Linked DNA regions of Xenopus tropicalis. The protein of the gene in region 3 interacts with the protein of the main gene of each other region in a pairwise test. Links are inferred from orthologs where the notes say so. Each region holds a gene or a part of one and is shown on either strand. Other genes may lie near its edges.

Region 1 (4,267 bases), on a different chromosome or scaffold from region 3:
GCCCGTGGCCTTCCCCGTCACTCTCATCTTCATTATCCTCATCCTCTGCTTCCGATTCCTCACCCACCTCTTCTGCCTCATCTTCCTCTTCTGCTTCTTCTAGGGCTTCTTCTTCCTCATCATCACTTTCTTCTTCCTCTTCATCAGACACAGTATTCAAGGTGGCGAGCAGCTTGTGGTACATGTTAACCGGCTCGGGATCACTCTCTGCCTCGCTCTCACTTCGGGATTCATCCTCCGAACTCTCAGGCTAAAATACAGACAAGTCAGACTTATAGTAACTAGAAATATCAGCAACGCATTTGTATTTTATATAAAAGCAATGTACAGGTTTCTGTTATCTAGAATGTATTCCTGGGCTTTCTGGATAAGGGATCTTTCTGTAATTTGGATCTGCATGCCTTAAAGAGGTGGTTCACCTTTAAGCTAACTTTTAGTACGTTATAGAATAGCCTATTCCAACAACTTTTCAATTGGTCTTCATTATTTATTTTTATAGTTGTTTTAATTATTTGCCATCTTGTCCCAACTCTTTTCAGCTTTCAAATGGGGGTCACTGACCTCAGCTCAAAAAAAAACTATTACTCTGTGAGGCTACAGTGTTATTTTTACTTTTTGTAACTTTCTTTTCTATTCAGCCCCTCTCCTATTCATATACCAGTCTCTCATCCAAACCACTCCCTGGTTGCTATGGTAATCTGGACCCAGCAACCAAATAACTGCTGAAACTCCAGACTGGAGAGCTCTTGAACTGAAAATGAAGTAACTAAAAAAGCTACAAATAAAAAATGAAGACCAACTGCAAATTGTCTCAGAATATCACTCTCATACATAATACTAAAAGTTAACTCAAAGGTGAACAACCCCTTTCAGTCTACTAAAAAATCATTTAAACATGAAATAAACCCAACAGAATTTATTTGCCCCCAATAAGGATTAATTATTTCTTAGTTGGGATCATGTGCAGAGAATAAGAGAAAGATGGCCTTCCCTTAATCTGAAGCTTTCTGAATAACAGGTTTCCGGATAACGGATCCCATACCTGCACTAACATGGCTGGGTAGTAACATGAAAGATCACACACATACTCCCTTATGCCTTCACATAGATATTACAGTTCTACACCCATAATTAGTTGAAATATAAAGCTAAGGGGAAGTAAAGCCACAAACTATAATTCTGTATCTGTCCATAAAGTAGGTTTAAAGTGTTTTAACGTAAATTGAAATTTCCACCCATCTCTTCCATTGTGATTTATGTTTAAAGAAGGTTTTAAATAGACATTTGCAGTATATATTGGCAACAGCTACATTCTTGTTTAAACTGGAAGGCTCAGGCATTACAGTCACTCACCAGTTGAACCACCTGGGTTGTTTCTTGTTTCTTGGAGACTCTGCAAAGAGAAAAGGGATCAGATTTACAATGTTTAATAACAAGCTGGTGGGCCCACCAAGACATACAATCAGTAGTCTGTACCAACCCCCTGAACCTCAAAGTACCTACTAACCTAGCTGTTTAAAGGGGAACTCCACCCAAAAAATATGCAGCCTTTTCTTGATTTTTAATGTTATAATATGGTTTGGAACAGTTCCCTAAGCCCCGCCCCCTGTTCCCCTGCTGATTCGGCTGGCTACTTGGAGACTCAAATAAAATGTCCTCAGCCTGCCTTCAGCCTGCATCCTCCCAATCCCACAATTCCCTGCACACTGATGTCAATAAGGAAAGGAACATCACAGTACAATGCATTGTGGGTTATGTAGTTCCTGCATGCTGTCTGTATGCTGTCTGTAAGCTGTGGAGAAGTTGTTACAATTTGTAACATCAGTGTTTTACTCGGTTTTATGTTCCTGCAGGGTAACACTTACTATATATATATATCTTCTACTCATGTCCCCTTTAGGGCCTCTAATGTGGCCCCTGACTATCCATAAGGCATTATACATTATGTTGATAATACTGCAAAATACCACTCAGTGCAATTATTATTATTATTATTATTATTAACATTTATTTATAAAGCGCCAACATATCCCGCAGCGCTGTACAATAAGTGGGTTACATACATTGGACATACAGAGTAACATATAAAGCAATCAATAACCGATACAAGAGGGGAAGAGAGCCCTGCCCAAAAGAGCTTACACTCTACATCCAATATATTAACTAAAGGCACAACATTGTCTCTACTCTTCTTGCTCTTACACCTGTATGTGCCCCCAACATTCCCCTTGATATCGGGACATTTGGGAACAGGATAAGTAACATGAGTATAGTTACCGGGACACCGGGACACTCTGGGCTGATTCTCCATTTCCAGATTCTGCCCAATATTTATATTCACCTTCCCAGCTACCCCTCCTCTATCTGAACATGTCATTGATCCCTTTGTCCCCTCCCCAAGGCAATAACAGTAACTCTGGCCTATAATGTTATGTATCATTGCTGTTCCATGTGCGCCCCCAAGTGGTTACTCAGGGCAGGGCAGGGGGGGGCACTACTATGTGTCCCCCCTTTTACTTTATTTTCCTGACACTCAAGCTGCTATTTTAACTCTTGCATTGGCCATGGTGTGTTTGCCTGGGAAATGTCAGACTCTAAGAGAGAAGGTTTGAGTCCCCGCCATCCCATCCCATCCCCATACCCGGACGATATGCTCCGAGGCTACTCACGCATCATAGAAGGGGTGCTGCTCCCCAAATTCCTTCAGGTGCTTCTTCTGTTTCTTGCTCAGGGCGCTGCCAGCCTCCTCCCTCCGCGGCTTCCTCCGCTTCCCCATCTCTGCACTCTAACCACGTGTGCGCCTCCCTCTCCGATTGGCTTCCGGGTTCTGTCGCATAGTTGATGACGTTGACCAATAATCACAGAGAGGGGCGGTACTTTTACGCCTGGTTTTACCTCATGACGCAAACATCAGCCGACTGCGAGGTACCGGCTCCCAGAAGGCAGTGCGCCGCAGACAGCGCCATGGAGCCGGAGATGCAGCCGGAGTTAGAGGGAGAGTCGCTGGCCCAGCGGGGGCGCCTCCCTGAGCGGTTACAGAGGCGGGACGAGGAGCGGCAGCGGGAGGCGGACAGGAAGCGGCAGGAGAAGGAGGGCCGCGCTGTGCTGGAGGAGAGGAGCGCCCATTTTATCGCCTCTTTCGGCTCTGACAGGGCGGGGATCGAGGAGCTGTTGGGCAGCGAGGAGTCGGGGGCCCTGGGGGAGGCTGCGGCTCGGTTGCAGCGATTGCAGAAGCTTCTGAATGACAGCCTCATGTTCCTCCCGCCCTATGATATCCGCCAGGCCCAGGACTCACTGGCCCGAATGCAGGGGGCTCTGGGGGCCAAACGCCAAGCTCTGCAGCCCCGGGGCAAGTTTGCCTTCAAATCCCGCAGGAAAGAGGCGGCCCCTGCAAGTAATACCACCCCTGCGGGGAATCCCACCCCTGCAAGTAATCCCACCCCTGCGGAACCTCAGGCCAAACCCAAAGCGGCGGAGCCCCAGGCCCTGTGTGGGCTGCGCGGACTCTCAGGCCAGGCCCTGTGTATGGAGGCAGCTGAGATCCAGAGGAGAGATGTTGCGCTGAGCCAATTGCAAGACTGCACCGTCACCCTGAGGGGCTCCCCCGCCACCCTGCATATCCGGGGCCTGCGGGGCTGTAAGGTGCTGTGTGGCCCCGTCTGCACCTCGGTGTTTGTGGACGACTGTCGCGACTGCCTGTTTGCCTTTCCCTGCCAACAACTGCGCACTCACAGCACCGAGCGCTGTCGCTTCTACATTCACGTCACCAGCAGGGCCATCATCGAGGACTGCGCCCAACTGCACTTTGCCCCCTTCACCTGGTCCTACGAGGGGATCCTGGGCGACTACGAGGCGTCCGGCCTAGACAGGGCCAATAATAATTGGAACCAAGTAGATGATTTCAACTGGCTGGCCAGGGATGTCCCATCTCCAAACTGGGGTGTCCTTCCAGAGGAGGAAAGAGTCACCGACTGGGCCTGATGCTCTGGGGACATTGGGCGGCCAAGGAGGATTGGCACAAGTTCAGGTGGAAGCTGGACATTGCTTGGAAGACCCAAGAGGAAAGGATAAAGCATGAGCGCTACATTGCCTAAAGGGATTTATATTGGAACTCGCATTCCTGGCTTCTAAACAGTTGGAGCCTTTTGCCTCAACCCTTATTTGCTGGCCGTACAGACATGGTGCGGGCCTACAGGTGTTTGGGCAGAGTGACCGGCCATTGGTATCCAGTAGAGGGGACTTGCCTGTGTAAATAGATGTTATACGT
Region 2 (4,287 bases), on a different chromosome or scaffold from region 3:
CTGCAGTATCAGCCATAGATCTGAGAATGTCCAGGCCTGCAAATATGTTTTTCCAAGTCTCACACTCACACTTACCTCCAAGCTGGATTACTGGGCAAATAGACATTCCGCATTCTCCTTAAATCTCACCCTAACTGGCCTTTAGTTTGGGAAGCCCAACCAAGGTTTTAGACACTGATAGATAGACAAGCATGTGTTTGTCTTTAGAAAACAAAACTTTTTAGCACTGTATAGGTTTCTTTTCCTAGTCCTACCACTGGGTCCCTCTGTATTCCACAATTTTTTTTCAGTAGGGCACTGCCTCTGCACTGGATTATGACTGGTACCAATTCAACTTGCAGTTATATTTGTAAAGGCTCAAGACTCAATATATTTAATCTTCTTCTTACTATTGGATAACTGATCCCTACAAATCCAGGATTTGCACCAACAAGTACGGTGAGATATGTAGGCATCAGGAAATGTGCAGCTATGTGCTGAAGCTTTACCTTGGTTTTGTAGCAACAATATGCCGCTATAGAAAGGGAAACTATACTAAAGGGAAACTATAGGGAAACTATCACAAAAATAAAAATGTAACATAAGCTTCTTCATACTGAAATAAGAAACTTTCTGAATATAATCAACTGAAAATTCTATACCATTTCTGAAATAATCAAGTTTATCTTCACTCTCCCCATCTGTTTCTCTTCATTCTGCTGAGAGGGACATAAACTTGATTTCAGGAATAGAGAATATTCAACTAATTATATTTAGAAAGTTTCTTATTTCAGTGTTATGAAGCATTTATTACATTTTCATTTTTTAAATATGGGAGCAGGGTTTGGTTCTATATGCAGATAGGAATGAAGGGAACATAGAGGAATGCACAGGAGACAGAAAAGGATAGAGAAATGAAACCTGTCTAAAAGAAAACCAAATGAGTGACTGTTACATAGACCACCACACCCTGACAAACAAAAGCTTTCTCTTTATTTATGAGACAGGAATTAGCTGCCAATACTAAAAAGAAAATACAACCTATCATTTAACTTGGGTTCATTTTGCTGTGTATGTTTAGTAAGACATCTGGCCAAAGCCTATTTTGCTACAAGGGTTTTAGGAAGAGTCTACCCAAATAACAGCATCAGAAATTACAGAAGGTACACCTATGTTTTGCTAGTATTGAGTTGGTAAAACAGGAAAACTGTTCCAAGTATTTTTCCAAAAGACACTTGCATTTTGACAATGATATTTAATTTCCCTATCGTATGCCCATACTCACTCTTTATTTAGATTGCACACACCGATCATTTTTATCCCACAAATCCCTATAACCCCATTCTAACCACTTTGGGACCTGACTGGTGGAGGTGAGAACACCCAAAGAAAAGCTGGCAACCATACCTGAATCTCTCCTGACCAGCTGTATCCCAGATCTGTAGCTTGATCCGCTTGCCTGGTTCAATCTCGACCAGCCTTGAGAAGAAATCCACTCCTACAGTTGGGTCAGAGACTTGAGCGAAGCGGCCTTCTGTGAACCTTCGAATGAGGCACGATTTACCCACAGTTGAGTCTCCAATGACAATGAGACGAAACTGGTATAGCCAAATTGCTTCCATTGTTCTATATTTCCACAGTTCTAGACCCTCTAAGCCAAACTTCCTGGCAATGTATAGGAGCTTATAGCAGAGATGTCCTGGTTGCTTTCAGGAGGCAAGGAGACCTCTGGGTATCCACTGCTCCTCAAGGACCACAACCAAGGCTTCCAAAAGGAAGAGACTACACCATTTATATGCTGTATAAACAAAGATCTTGGGCTAACGCATGTAATTATGTGGTTAGGGGGCAAACACTATGGCCTTTGCAGTAAAGCTCTTTACTCTTACAATTAGCAATGCTATTTTATCCAGTGGCCTTTAGAATTTGCCCTTGTGTTAGACCAGGAGTACAACAGAAATGTTTAAAGCTCTTTAAAAGTCTATATTCTAACAAATAAGGCTCCACAATGACTATTTTTTGTTACTTCAGAGTTAATTACAGTCAGTGGTTATGGAGTCCTAATGAAGATTTCTTCCTGCCCTCTGGCAGCATGATAGGTGTAATGATGCTAATAGACAGCTATGTAAGTTCTAGAGAGAGGGTAAACAGGCCCCAGGCTGTGTGGGGGTTGAACTATACACAGCTTGTCCTCAAACTGCCCATATTCTTAAAAGATGAAAAGCTCCTTTAGCACAAAGGGAGAATGGCACCGTGGATTCCTCACTCTTCCATCATTGACAGGCTGCTAAATGGTAACTTTAGGCTGCCTCCATCTTCCAGCAGTACAGCCGAACAGTCTATGCGAGGCTACCGAATCTAAGCAGATGCCAAGCAGCCTAGTGGGGTAGAAGCGGCCCTGGGCTGGGTGCTGTGCACATTGCAGTACAAAGCAGGAGGGAAAGGGCAGCAGTCTCCCAGAGCAGATCAATCACCCAATTCTATTAGCCTTCCAGCTCGCCTTAGCCCGGCAGCCAGACACATTAAGGCCCATCACTCGCAGTTATTCCCATGAACCGAATGCCCAACCGCGGCCGGATCCAGCGCAGGCCCGCAAGCTCTTTCTCCAGCAGCAACACGGCCGATCAGCGGCTGCGCCCCCGGTAATTGCGACCAGTCGCTGCGAGAGGCTGCGATGGCCCTGAGTACGACGAGCAGCACACTCCGGCCGTGGGAAGATGGAGAAGAGACGCCGCACAGAGGATGCTGGGCTCCCAGAGCTGATGAAATGGCAGCAACATCAGCACCAAACACTCTGACTCATCATTGGCATCAGCAGCTCCCGTAATCACCTGCCTAGAGGCGCAGCCCCAACCCCTACCGTAATCTGCAGTGAAATCGAGCAGCTGTCACAAAGACTTTCACTGGCCGGGGGAGGAAAACAATCCGTTCAGTGGGATATATAGGACCTGTGAGTCCCCTAATACAGGGATCCCCAACCTTTTATACCCATGAGCAACGTTTAAATGGAAGAAGTGTTGGGGAGCAACACAAGCAGGAAAAAGGTTTCTAGGAGTAGGAATAAGAGCAATAATTGGCTACTTTATAGCCCCTATGTGGACTGGCAGCCTACAGAAGGCTCTGTTTGGCATTATACTTGATTTTATGCAACCAAAACTTGCCTCCTTACCAGAAATTTAAAAATAAGCATCTGCTTTGAGGCCACTGGGAGCAACATCCAAGGGGTTGGGGAGCAACATGTTGCTCCTGAGCTACTGGTTGGGGATCACTGCTCTAATATGTGTGTAGGAGAAGTCTCTGACTGAGTATCCTGATGAAAACCCATACGGAAACATTTGAACTAAAGAGAAAATTGAAAATCTAAGCAACTTTACGATATTCTTTACGTATTTACAACGGTTTTAGGATTACTTGTATCTATAACTGGTACTGTCCCTTCTATCTCTGCCCTTATGGCTTTAATATTCCAACACTGACCTTCTGCTACAAGGCTTTAGGAGACAGAAATGTACAGTAAATTACATTTACAAATAACACTGAAAAGCCACAGGGAACGTTGCTTAGCCTGAAGGATCAACCACTTGTGGCCCAACAACCTTTTTTAGAATGTTAAAAGAAATTGGGGGATTTTAGAGATACTACTAGAGAGCAACACTGGCATAGCCTCATTCTACATCTTTAATGTGTCCTAAAACAAATTCCAGTGTCTATGTATTTCCATGTTACAACACAAACCAGCAGCAATTACAGACCAAGGACAGAACCAAACTGTACCTGTAGCTTGCTGTGTAGCTGGGGTTCCCCTCCCATAGTCTCCCAGGCCACAAACATTTATAAACAAAGGGGAGACATGATTGCCATAAGACAGTGCCCAGAAACAACTCCATCAGATCCCCCTCCAGTGTTTTTCATGATTCAGATTAACAATAATATATTCATATGAATTTTCTGACGGTTAATCTTAAGCCTAAAATAGTTTTATAAAAACTGATTATCTCAACAATACTGATTCTGTTCTTTATAATAACCGCCAGGCTCTCTAACAATAGCTTTATTATGCATGCAGCTCTCATGCCATGGATAAGCTTGTTATGACCTGATTTCTCCATATAATGCTTTGAAAGGAAGGCCCTGTCCACTCACATCCCAGGTTTCTGCCCGTGGATCAGCTAAGCCTTATCTCACACAGTTTGCTTATACATCATACATACAGTCAGTGACAATTGTGAAAAAAAAATATTTTAACATTTAACATACATTACTGTCCACCATCATCTGTACATTTGCTAAACTTAGTTAAATGGATAT
Region 3 (3,500 bases):
AATTCACTCACCCTCCCATCCGAATGTGTGATAAGAGCTACCAGGCTAGAGCTTCAGCACGGAAGCTACAAAGACCAAGCTAAAATGGCAGCTGCTATCTTAAACTACCGGAGGGAGCTTCAAGGGCTGTTTACTCAGGTATGGTAAAGCTTTCTGCAGAATAATTATAGCATATTAGCTAGCACTATTGTGGCAAATCTATTGGTAGTAAAATGCCAAAATGACTTTCCTTTCCTTTTCCTTCAGAGCTTCTCCAGCAGAATCCATTTTTCAAAAACACAGATTTTTTTCATATTTAGTTTTGCAATTTCCCATGGGGCTTGCCATAATCTTCATTTCCCAGGGTGCTGAAGACATGTGACTTTTGCTCTGATAAACTTCAGTCACACTTTACTGCTGCACAGCAAGATACACTGATATCACCCCCTCCCTTTCCCCCTGCCAGCAGCCAATCAGCAGAACAACAAGAAGGTAGCAAGATAGCAGCCAGCTGAAAGCAGTTCTAATGTGTACTGCTGGCTCTTTCTGAAAGCTCAGACTCAGGCACAGTGAGATGCCTACACAACAGTATTACAACAAAAAAAAAAAATACATTTTTGGTTCAAGAATAAGATTTTAAATTGTAGAGTGAAGTGTTTGCTATGTAAACAGTGTAATTTAGAACAAAAGTACACCATAAAAATTATGACAGAATCCCTTTAAACAGTCTATAGAACAAAACTGTTACATGCTACAGGCAGAGGCACATGGGGAGATTGGTTGCCCATGGGTAGTCTCGGCTACGGTGGTACACTGTGTGCCACTGGCCTTAACACATAGTTAGGTAGGTTAACTGGGTGCTATGCATTTATCAAACTACCCGCCATCGTATTGGTCAGGAATTTGTTTTGGGGCTTTCGATAGTAAGGCTAATTGGCATCTGCAATTTCCAAGCCTGCAATCTGCATCAGGGCTTTTGATGATTATGTTTAGTTTTGGATAAGGTGCAAAAGGGAAGATGCAGTGAGGGTTAATCTTTGTGATTCCCTTTTTTATGCTTCAAGTAAATAAGCCATTATTCAAAGATGGATTTTGTAATTAAAGGAGAAGGAAAGGCAAAGTCACTTGGGGGTGCCAAAATGTTAGGCACCCCCAAGTGACTTAAATCGCTTACCTTTTACCCCGGGCTGGTGCCCCTGTTCGGAGAGAACAGCACCAGCCCGGGGTAGCTGCGATCGCTTCCTCCTTCCTGCTTCCGTGCGTGCATGCGCAGTAGAGTGAAAAAGACGAAGTTTAACAGAGAAGTCGGCTTTTCACTCTAATGCGCATGCGCCGGTCCTGGGAATTAACCGGCAAAACTAAGCCGGTAAGGAGGAAGCGCTCGCTACAGGTACCACGGGCTGGTGCTGTTTTCTCCTAACAGGGGCACCAGCCCTGGGTACAAGGAAAGCCTAACATTTTGGCACCCCCAAGTGACTTTTCCTTGTCCTTTAAGGCTTAGGTATTTTGTGGGGAAACCCTCTGCCCTTACCATGTTTTATTAAGCTTTTCAAGTTGCTGCTGTAAGGATCCTATTTTGGCTCCATGCTCCATTTTCATTTTATTGCAATTTTCTTCAGCTGCTTCTCTAGTCTTTTCAGATTTCTGCAGCCTGACAAATACAAAATTGAGTTTAAGCAGCTTTTAGAAAGGAAGGCACTGTAACATAAAAAAACAACTTATGATATATACTATATATTTAATACATACGTATTCCTAAGGTATACTTAATAAAATCATACATGTAATATTTAGTCATGGACTCCTGTAGTGGAAGGAACCCTCATTTATCACTGAGGTGCAACTCACAGCACACAGCAAGGGGAAAAAGATATTTCTGACGAGAGGAATTTCTCACAGATTAAAAATATATAACATTTCATTGCAGCTTTGAAAGCACAATGTAGGGCTGTTAAGCAGTGTTGTTGAACATTTTCTATGTAGTTGTCCAAACGTTGATTATATAGATCAAGGGTCCTTTTAAACAGGGGGCCAAGTTCATGATCCCTCACACTGTTGGGGGGCCTGACTATAGTTAGTCCTCAACCTACGGCTCCCCACCGGCTCCCCACCGGCCCCCCACTGCCCCCTCTCTCCTGGCTATAATTTGTCTGCCTCAGCGTGGTCCTTGACACCTCATTAGCGTCAGACAGTGGAACGCAGTGACCTTACGCGCTGGGGCCGAGAATCACGCTGAGGCACCAGGGGTGAGGACACAGCGGGGACAGGGGACGGGTAAATGACCTTGGGGGCATATCCAGCCCGCAGGTCGTAGTTTGAGGACCCCTGATATAGATTGTCAAGGATGGGTAATATTCACATGATATGGTTATGGAGCCCACGGACAGCCCAAATGCTACAGGTAAAGAGCTTTTATTTTTTATTTTTCTTCTGACAACCAAATCATATTAATTTCTGAGGATGTAAATTGTAGGAAGCCTAGAGAGCTTTTCAGATTTTAGTGGAAGCAACAAACCTTTCCTCTATTTGCTTTAGTGCCGATGTCAACTGATCTCCTTTTGCTTGTACTGAATTCACAATTTCATTTTTCTTATGTAGGGCTGTTTCTGCATCCTATTAAATACAAAAGCTGAAATTAATACAAATAAGCAGGTGAAGTCATTTCTAAAATGGCGATGGTGAGTTGTTTTTCAACTTTATGACCTCTGATTGTGAGCTGGCTGCAAGTCTATATGGTGAAGGACCCGGGGTATACACACCCGGGTCAGCGCTTACTTAGGTACTTGTTTGATCTGTATTCACGTGTTTAACTTTTTATTTTCAGTAATTTTTGAATTACGGAGCTAGCTCATTAGACTCTCTTATTTATTTCACATATAATTTTTGGTTTTTGTGTGTATCTTGATGCACTGGGCACCAACTATTTTGCTCAGTAAACATTTCACAAGAGGACAGTTTGTTTTAGGCTGTTGTTTTTGCTTCATCCAAAACATTGTGTCAGTGTCTTGGTGAAATTTATTTCAAACAGTTCAAAAATCTATAACCAGAACCTCACTGATAACTATGCAGTATATCTGGTTAACAAAAATAAATAAAGAAATAGAATAAAGAAAAAAAAAAAAAAAAGACAATGCTACATTGATACCACCCAGGATACAATATCCGCATCTTGTGTACATTGTAGCCAATTTAACATGCTTCGCCTAGTCTTTGCTTGGGAAAATTTTTAGACATTATGGGTGTACAGAAATACCCTTTTGCAAATCTTAACTTGTGGCATGACCTATATTTGGTAAACATGGTGGGCAGATACACACAAGATGAGGCTGAGACTAAATTGCTCCACAATTATAGTAAACATACATATAGTAAACATACACAGGCCATGTAAAGGAAACTTACTGAACAAATATTCTGCTTTGTTCTCAGCTGTTTCTTTACATATTTTCAAACTAAAGCTATATGATATAATAAAGCTTACTTCAGGCATATCACTTGTTAAAGGAGACATATAGCAGAAG

Evidence for each region. The genes of interacting proteins can lie anywhere in the genome.
Region 1: the proteins of rufy1 (region 3) and utp25 interact in binary tests that used the Homo sapiens proteins (3 or more experiments, as listed by UniProt). The link is inferred for Xenopus tropicalis from reciprocal best matches to the Homo sapiens genes RUFY1 and UTP25.
Region 2: the proteins of rufy1 (region 3) and rab39b interact in binary tests that used the Homo sapiens proteins (3 or more experiments, as listed by UniProt). The two-hybrid records come from large-scale screens. The link is inferred for Xenopus tropicalis from reciprocal best matches to the Homo sapiens genes RUFY1 and RAB39B.

The regions. Positions count from the first base shown.
Region 1 is NC_030681.2:15,264,843-15,269,109, reverse strand, and holds the start of utp25 (digestive organ expansion factor homolog), read right to left. Parts: upstream 2,801-4,267; 5' UTR 2,777-2,800; coding exon 2,670-2,776; intron 1,394-2,669; coding exon 1,354-1,393; intron 251-1,353; coding exon 1-250. Other genes in the region: tbcc (tubulin-specific chaperone C), read left to right, coding at 2,842-3,981. UniProt on the Homo sapiens protein: Component of the ribosomal small subunit processome for the biogenesis of ribosomes, functions in pre-ribosomal RNA (pre-rRNA) processing. Essential for embryonic development in part through the regulation of p53 pathway.
Region 2 is NC_030684.2:50,653,971-50,658,257, forward strand, and holds the start of rab39b (ras-related protein Rab-39B), read right to left. Parts: upstream 2,801-4,287; 5' UTR 1,602-2,800; coding exon 1,387-1,601; intron 1-1,386. UniProt on the Homo sapiens protein: The small GTPases Rab are key regulators of intracellular membrane trafficking, from the formation of transport vesicles to their fusion with membranes.
Region 3 is NC_030679.2:31,726,735-31,730,234, reverse strand, and holds part of rufy1 (RUN and FYVE domain-containing protein 1), read right to left. Parts: intron 2,593-3,500; coding exon 2,495-2,592; intron 1,631-2,494; coding exon 1,511-1,630; intron 1-1,510. UniProt on the Homo sapiens protein: Activating adapter involved in cargo sorting from early/recycling endosomes. Regulates retrieval of proteins from endosomes to the trans-Golgi network through interaction with the dynein-dynactin complex.